Linked DNA regions of Arabidopsis thaliana. The protein of the gene in region 2 interacts with the protein of the main gene of each other region in a pairwise test. Each region holds a gene or a part of one and is shown on either strand. Other genes may lie near its edges.

The links. The genes of interacting proteins can lie anywhere in the genome.
Region 1: the proteins of GIP2 (region 2) and FMA interact in a two-hybrid assay, tested with the Arabidopsis thaliana proteins (one large-scale study listed by BioGRID).

The regions. Positions count from the first base shown.
Region 1 is NC_003074.8:8,714,610-8,720,241, reverse strand, and holds FMA (basic helix-loop-helix (bHLH) DNA-binding superfamily protein), read left to right. Parts: upstream 1-2,030; 5' UTR 2,031-2,165; intron 2,166-2,409; 5' UTR 2,410-2,469; coding exon 2,470-2,487; intron 2,488-2,623; coding exon 2,624-3,289; intron 3,290-3,401; coding exon 3,402-3,836; intron 3,837-4,066; coding exon 4,067-4,152; coding exon of another isoform or gene 4,153-4,156; exon of another isoform or gene 4,157-4,677; coding exon 4,678-4,717; 3' UTR 4,718-5,124; downstream 5,125-5,632. UniProt on the Arabidopsis thaliana protein: Transcription activator. Together with MYB88 and MYB124, ensures that stomata contain just two guard cells (GCs) by enforcing a single symmetric precursor cell division before stomatal maturity. Together with SPCH and MUTE, regulates the stomata formation.
Region 2 is NC_003070.9:27,742,659-27,745,965, forward strand, and holds GIP2 (mitotic-spindle organizing 1B-like protein (DUF3743)), read left to right. Parts: upstream 1-1,990; 5' UTR 1,991-2,155; exon of another isoform or gene 2,156-2,354; 5' UTR 2,355-2,360; coding exon 2,361-2,564; 3' UTR 2,565-2,771; downstream 2,772-3,307. Other genes in the region: AT1G73770 (coiled-coil protein), read left to right, coding at 1-298; AT1G73780 (Bifunctional inhibitor/lipid-transfer protein/seed storage 2S albumin superfamily protein), read left to right, coding at 1,214-1,510; SARD1 (Calmodulin binding protein-like protein), read right to left, coding at 3,103-3,302. UniProt on the Arabidopsis thaliana protein: Required for gamma-tubulin complex recruitment to the microtubule organizing centers (MTOCs). During mitosis, modulates gamma-tubulin complex localization, spindle stability and chromosomal segregation. Necessary for gametophyte development and embryogenesis.

The DNA.
Region 1 (5,632 bases), on a different chromosome or scaffold from region 2:
AATTGGTAATGATATTGGTGGTGATAAAAGTTTGGAAATTGATTTTGGGATCACCATCACTAAGTGGTTTTACTAGTGAATTTTTAGTGTTAAATTTACTACTCAAAGAAAAATTTATTGATATGAGTGGGAAAAAAAAGTCCAAAACAAAAGTATGTATATGATATAGATATAATAAATATGTGTGTTTACTTGGTTTGAACTGCACTTGTATATTGACAATAAATTTATGGTATAAGAATGCAAATTTTTATGTTTTTTACTTTTTTTTATGATAAAAAAGAATGTAAATTATTCTTTTGGAATTAAAAAAGAATTGAGTATATCAATCAGTCTCTTCGCTCGCTATCATTGAAGTTTGATCTTAAAATCTATATATCTTACAGTATTTCGATGCTTGTGGCCTGTGGGTGTTATGTATCGTAATAGTTGTTTTGTTGGCTCAATTGGGAATGGTTGCAGCAAGTATTTTTTTTGGTTGATGCTTCGATGCAAGCTCTTTCATGTTTCTTTTTTTCTTTTCAACATAGTATTTGTGTAATATGCACCTACTAAAATACTCCTATGGATCCGCGACTCTTATTCCCGAAAAAGTTCACTGGATTGATCAACGTGAATTTTTACTCCACTTTTTGTTAAAAGTTAAAACGTAACCATCCACACCAGTGTCTTTTTCTTTAAATGTATATGTCTCCACGTACACACACAAATAGTATAGGTCATGTTCGTGAAACTAATTTCATATATTTGACCAGAATATTTTTATTAGAAATCATATTTTATTGACAACACATAACTAATATAAGTGCTTGAATTTGAAATACTATAGAAATAAACTAAAAGATGAGAAGCGTATAGAGATTTGATTAAGTTCACGAAAAGCGGTGGAAAAAGAGCGGCCTTGGCTTGTGAACTCTAAAAACTCAAATCTTATCATTTATGGTTTGACAAACAAAAAAAAAAGATAGATAGATAGAGAGGTGATCAGCTGATACACGTGTGTTTTCACGTTACTTCTTTTTTCGTATTTTGTGGCTCCTCACCCTTACGTCTAACGCAAAAAGAAATAGAGTATTTATTACAAAAACAAGATATGATTTGGAATATTCAATAATCTTTCTTTTGAGTCAATATTGAACTTAATTTTTGTTCAAAATAAGCTAGGGAGTTGCTCTAGATCCCCCATTTCAAATTTGACCGTAAAATTTGGATTGTTATGTGTTTCTATGTAGAAGATAGAGAAGAACTAGATAACTATATATGTAATGATATTTATATATCAAATGGGATGAAAATTAATATTGACACATTATGTGCATAATACAAAGGGATTGATTGAATGAGCATCTTTTGATTAGCCAATCATGATTTTCTGCAAAAGCATTTGGGGAGACATTGAGAACTTCCGACTGCACGGCTTTATCCTGCTACAATTGGAAGCTTTTTTTACTAAGCATTAAGTATCTCTAACAATTATAAGAGGGCAATAATAACATCCCTTTTTCTTTCTTACAAAGCAATAAAAAAGGACAATAGTAACGAAAATTCATTTTTCCCACGATTGATATCTTTTGGTTGTAGTTTTTAGATTTTCTAAAACATTTTATGTGATGGTTGATATTTCTCTACTTTTAGAAACTAAAAGAGAATGCATAGAAAATTGCGAAAAACAATGATGTCTCGATAATTAATGGGAATATGATAGTAGAATAAAACAGCCACTGCAATCAAACTACTTACTACTAATCCTCAATATTTTAGATTAACTTATGTAGATTTTCATTTATCTTTATTCTTTAGAAAATTGTTTTTTTTTTTTTTGAAACATGTTTACGTATCTTTTTTTAAGTCGTTTAATTTGTTTTTATTGGGTCACGAATGTGTACCATTCACACCCTAATTAGTAATTAGAGAAACAAATGATTACGAATATACATACTTAAGAAATTTAATGCCCCCTTGCTATACCTTGTGTACACATGTATAATGTATCTCTCTCTATAAATATGGGAGCTTGGTGATGCTTACTCATTTATGACTTCTCAATACAAAAAGCTCCCCTCACTTTTTTAAGTTTTGTCTTCTCTAATCCGTCTTCTTCTACTATCTTGCATGTCTTGCGTCTTTTATATACATCTCTCGTAAACCCTAGCAAATCATACAAGGTCAGTCCCTTTTATTTTGTTAACTCCTTACTAAACAAAGCTCTAATATATTTGGTGTTAATCATTTTTTTTAATTGTCAAAATTCAATTTGAAAACTTGTTTTGTACATATAAAATACATGTATATGTATATGGTGAAACATGTAATCTGCCTAGGTTTGGTTTTAACTTGTTCTACGTGTGTTTTTGTTTCATGTATATGTTTTTAAAACTGACTGTGAAGCTCATGGATTGTTGTCATCAGGTCAAGAAGCTTGACCTTCATTAGACTTAAGCAGTTTATAATCAACTACCACGAATAGCAATGGATAAAGATTACTCGGTACGTACGTTTTTTTTTCCAGTATTTCAAGATCCTTAATCTCTTTTCTTATACAAATTGATAGATATCTATGTATAAGATTCAAATCTTCCTGCTTATGATATTAACTTCATTCTCCAATTCTGGTTTTTATTAGGCACCAAACTTCTTAGGTGAATCCTCAGGCGGTAACGATGATAACAGCTCTGGTATGATAGACTATATGTTCAATAGAAACCTTCAACAACAACAAAAGCAATCGATGCCACAACAGCAGCAACATCAACTCTCTCCTTCCGGATTTGGAGCAACACCTTTTGATAAAATGAACTTCTCTGATGTGATGCAGTTTGCGGACTTCGGTTCGAAACTTGCGTTGAACCAGACCAGAAACCAAGACGATCAAGAAACCGGGATTGACCCCGTTTATTTCTTGAAGTTCCCTGTCTTGAACGACAAAATAGAGGACCATAACCAAACCCAACATCTCATGCCTTCTCATCAGACGTCTCAAGAAGGAGGTGAGTGTGGAGGAAACATAGGCAATGTGTTTCTTGAAGAAAAAGAAGATCAAGACGATGACAACGACAACAACTCCGTGCAACTACGTTTTATTGGAGGAGAAGAAGAAGATAGGGAGAACAAGAATGTTACGAAAAAGGAGGTGAAGAGCAAGAGGAAGAGAGCTAGAACGAGCAAGACCAGCGAAGAAGTGGAAAGCCAACGGATGACTCATATCGCGGTCGAAAGAAACCGTAGGAAGCAAATGAATGAGCATCTTCGTGTCCTTAGATCTCTCATGCCTGGCTCCTACGTTCAAAGGGTATGATATTCATAAATTATATCTTAAAGAAAGAATTTTCGTGAATGTTTTTTTATATGTATATGTACAACTAATTATACTGTCTACACCAAATATTAATTGTATAAAATAGGGAGACCAAGCGTCAATCATAGGAGGAGCAATAGAGTTTGTGAGAGAGCTCGAGCAACTCCTACAATGTCTTGAATCACAGAAGCGTCGAAGAATCTTAGGAGAAACCGGTAGGGACATGACAACGACAACGACTTCTTCTTCTTCTCCCATAACTACGGTAGCGAACCAAGCACAACCGCTCATTATTACGGGAAATGTAACCGAGCTAGAGGGCGGAGGAGGGCTTCGGGAGGAGACTGCGGAGAACAAGTCGTGCTTGGCTGACGTGGAGGTGAAGCTGCTAGGGTTTGACGCCATGATCAAGATACTTTCAAGAAGAAGGCCGGGACAGCTGATTAAGACTATAGCTGCTTTGGAGGATCTTCATCTCTCTATTCTTCACACTAACATCACTACCATGGAACAAACCGTCCTCTACTCCTTTAATGTCAAGGCAAGTTTATATGTTAAAAAGTAATTCATCATTCATATTCAGCTTTCATATGCAAAATCTAGACTCATCAAATAATACATGTAATTATCTAATCTGGATTAGCTGTCATAAAACACATTTATAATTTTATTTAGGGTTTTCAATATAATCATAGATTATGGATTTGTATTGTTAAAGTATATGTAATAACTATCAATGGCTAACATGAGGTAGATGTAAAATATGTGCAGATAACAAGTGAAACGAGGTTTACGGCAGAAGACATAGCAAGTTCCATCCAACAGATATTTAGTTTCATTCATGCAAATACCAACATGTAAGGATATATATTTTTCTGCTATTTAAATATTCTTTCGATTAAAGATACTTTTGATAAGTTTCTGTTGGTCCCTTAAAACAAAAGTTTATGTTGGTTCATTGTTATCCATTTCACATGCCTTTTGTGTTTTGTTTGTTTTTACCTTTTAGATGTCATGATTATATCTTTTTGTGTGCAATGTGGTCTATCTAATCATCAAGACATCATTACTATGTGTGTGTGTGACTCTGTGAGTGTGTGAGTATATGAGTCTGGTAAAAAGTCTTAGAGTAAAAGATATTGGTGGTTCGATGTTATACATTTTACTATTTTAGATGTCTAGCTTTTGTCTTTTGTTTGTTCTTTTACCTTTTAGATGTTATGATTATTTGCTTTTAATGTTAGATATATATGGTGTATCTAATCTATCATGGTTATTTTCTTTGTGTGTTACATATGGTGTGTATATATATATATATATATATTGTAACATATTTATCACAATATTTGAAGTGTTAAAGCTTGGAAACAATTTTATTTCAGATCTGGAAGCTCTAACCTGGGAAATATTGTGTTTACTTGAAAATCATCACACGGCGACAACTTTGTACACTGGTGAAGATTACAGTACGTAATAATCTCTACATATTGGGTTTTATTCTCCAAGCATTTGGAAGAGTGTTTAAGTTAAAGGGAGTGCTTACTTTATTTTTTTGGGGCTTTTTTCATGCAATTTAAATTTTAGTGATGATTGTGTCGCTTGTAATGTTAGAACTCGTTGTTGTGATTTCTGCTGCTTTGATTTGTAGGTTTTGAACAAGCGGTTTAGAATGCTAAACCACTTATTTACTTGAAATAACTTTTTTCACAAAATAAAAAAGAAAAGAAAAAAACAATGCATGAAAACTTTTCTTGAGGGGAGGGAGAGGAACTATCATTTTCTTGAGATTTGTCTATGAGAAATGGGCCAATATATATACAACAAGAAAACATGAAGAAAAAAAAGGTTAGAAATAGCCAGTTTTAATCTTCAAAAAATTGACCATTCGGTTAAACAAAGTGACGCTTTTACACTTTTTCAAAAGTGATTTGACTAAAGAAACTAAGTGTCAGAATTCAGAAAAACAAATTCATTTAGGAGACTCAAAATGATTGTCTTTAATCTTTCTCTCGTACGTCAACAAAGACGAAACTCTTGTCTTCATCTTCTTTATATATTCACCATTAGCTCTAATCCAAGTCAGATCCGACACATACACAATAAATTCCAAAAGCACTGCTTGGTTTTCTTCTCACACCAAGTAGGTTCGTACGGGGGTAAGATCTTGACAGAGTCCAAGGCCAGAGAATTCCAATTCCAAATCCGTCCAAGACTTGAAGATCCTTTGTTATATAGCTTATATTAATTCATCGAAGGTAAGCAAAAAAGATTCGTGTTTGTCAATCGTATTATTGTGTTAAATGGTAAGATAATCATTGTAATTACTTTTGAAAATGG
Region 2 (3,307 bases):
GATTAGGAAGTTATCAGGGAAGCACGATGATAGTGATGATGAAGTGATGGATGTGGTGCGTAAGTATCCAGTTAACGATGCACATAAGGTTGACGATATTGACTCTGATATTGAGAGTGATGGCCATGGTGATTCGTCTGATTCAGATATTGAGAGTGATGACTTGAGAGATGGTGATTCGTCTGATTCCGATGTAGAGTTTGATGGTTTCAATGATGTTGGCTTGTCTGATGTCAATATTAAGACTGATGCCCTGAAAGCTAATCGCTCGTCTTATTCTTACTCTGAAAGTGATTAACACATGGTAAGTTTTGGATTTCGCACCATACGGTACTCGCAAAGAGAACATTTTCTTCTGTATTTTACAGTCTCTTATTTTTTTGTCACATTTTGCATTTTCTACTTGTATAACTTGATTAAATGGATATACAAATTATTTAGTACTTTAGAGATTTTCTAACACTGTGCTTGTTAGAGACTATTTAATCTTTAAGCGTGTGATTGCTTGCTTAATCATGTGTCTTGGGCTTTGTTTATCCTATTCATTATGTGCTAAGTATGAAAACCTTGGTGGCTGATACCACATGGAGAATATGGATTCTAGAAAAGTGTCTGAGTAAACTTAATATATACTGCAGCTTATCTTCTTTTATTCTTTCATGGCCTGATATATGTTTAACATTGTGATCAATGAACTCTAATTGGTCTTGGTTTTGGGCCACAGACTTATGCACTACATTGAAGATTTTGAAAGGAAGCAACTGCCTAGTGAATGGAAACAGATCAGTTTTTGGTCCATGTTGGCTGTAAGTTCTGCCTTTTGAATATAATTAGAAATTTAAGTCATATTTTGTGCTTAGTACAATAGTAATGAAGTAAAATATATAATTATGAAGGTGTTCTCATTACTTTGTTTAAGTGTCAACAAATTCATATACCTTCACTGGGGGTAGCCGAAAGCTGACATCTATTTTGGTTACACGTGGTTTCATAACTTCTCCAAAATGGTGCCTAGGTGTTTTTATGCTTTGTCCGAGCCTTTTAGAAAAAAGTTAATCTCTTTTAGACATATCGAGATCTCCTGCAACCACAAACTCTCGTTTGAGTAACGTGACTCACTCAAAGACATTTTCTTCTATAAATAGAACGAGAGAAACCCACTTTAAACTCCAAACCAAATATCTTCTTCTTCTTTCTATAACTTAGTGAGACAATGAAGGGTTCTTGCACAAAACCAGTGTTTTTCACTTGTACAATCCTTCTCATTTTAATTGTTGCCCAAGAAAACAGAGTCGCTGCAGTAGATCCATGTAATCCTGCGCAGCTGAGTCCATGCTTGGAGACCATAATGAAAGGGTCTGAGCCATCGGATCTGTGTTGCAGCAAGGTGAAGGAGCAACAGCATTGTATCTGCCAGTACTTGAAGAACCCTAACTTCAAATCTTTCCTTAACTCCCCAAACGCCAAAATAATCGCCACTGATTGTCATTGTCCGTATCCGAAATGCTAGTCCCAGTATTTCGTTCTAGTTTTCGATGTTCTGTTTCTTGCTTTCAAGACCAAAAAAGGTGTTCTGTTCTGTTCGCTCATCATCGATGGTTTTTCTACTTCAAGTTTCTTACTTTTGAGTTTGGCTTTCCATTAATGTGTTTGTCGTCAAGGAATAAATCTTGATCATCACATATTCACATTGATATGTTTTTAAGAAATTTCGGATAATTCGACTAACATAAGCTACTTAAAAGTTAAAAGTTCCAATTTCAAGGATATCACTACAAAATAAGTCTCTAAATTTGGATGCAATTTTGTCAATTTTGGCCGAATTAATCATAACAAGGTCTTGAATCCCTTGATTCCGACAAAAAAGAATCCCTTGATTAAAACTAGTTCAGAGACTTCGATTGTATTAAAACCGGCGGATTTTATTTAACCGACCGATTTGATATGAACCAGTAAATATACTCTGAACCGGCCAAAGGTTTATTTTCTTAAAAAAAACAACCCTAGATTTCTAAATTCTAATTGTTGGCCCATTTTCGCCTCTTCTTCTTCGATCACGAGATCGAGAATCGTTTCTCTCAATTATCTCAAGCTCTAAGATCTCACTTCTTCTCTCTCAAACTCGACGCCGTTCGTTTTCTCCGTCGATTAATCGGTTCGTTTTGTTCCTTAACCTTTTTCCGATCTAATGTATCTCTTGATCCGTCGGCAAGTCTCCGATTTCCACTTTAAGGGTTTCCATTCTCTGTACATCCATGGAGATCCGTACAAGAATAGAGTAGATATTCATATGTAAATTGAATCGTTTCCGAAATTGATATTTTTTTGTTCTGGATGATGTTTGGTGGTTTCAGAGTATTATGAATCAGGAAGCAGCTGAAACAGCGAGAGAGTCACTGGAGCTGGTGTTTCGGATGTCGAACATCTTGGAGACAGGTCTTGATCGACATACTTTGTCTGTTCTTATAGCTCTTTGCGATATTGGTCTTAACCCTGAGGCTCTCGCTACTCTCGTCAAGGAGCTTCGTAGGGATTCTGCTACAACAACAACTACGGTTGATTAAGAAGATGCCTAATCAAATAGTATCATTCATGCTTGTTTTCTAAGTTTCAATTTCATTATGCTATTGATGTGTAAATTAGGGTTGGTAAGGTAATTGAATAGAGAGTTTCAGAGACAAATTGGTAATAAGTATTTGAGTCATCCCCACTCAATCCTTTTGAGAGGCTTTCTTTAAGTAAATCACAAAGTTACCCTCATATTCTTGATTTCTTTTTTTAGTCAATACTTTCATCAAGTACGTACATATACAGCGGAATCAATTTTTCTAAAACGTAAAAACGTAAAAATTTGTTGAACGTGAATGGTAAAAACAACGTTTTCATACAACTGTGAAAACGTGAACAAGTGGTATACCATCCAACTAAAAATATAACTCTAAACTTCACACTTTTATGTACAATCATGATCAGCAGATCTAGAATACATGTTTTACCATCATGTACGTAGTAGTAGTTTAAAGTTTAAACCCTTATTTAGAAAGAGTCCAATCTCGGCCAAGGCACTATGGCGTGTCTTCCAATACTAACGTAGATGAGGATTTAGAAAGGGTTTATATGATTTTGAGACGAAGATCCGGTGAAACATATATTGAATTCCGCTGGAGTCGTTATATACCCTTCGTTTACTATCTCCAAATTGTTTGTAGATCTCTCTTGAACATATCCGTTTTGTTGATATGATTTATCGATTTCGATGTTTTGGTAGTGGCTCGCAGCATATTGTTGGTCCAAATCATCACCTATA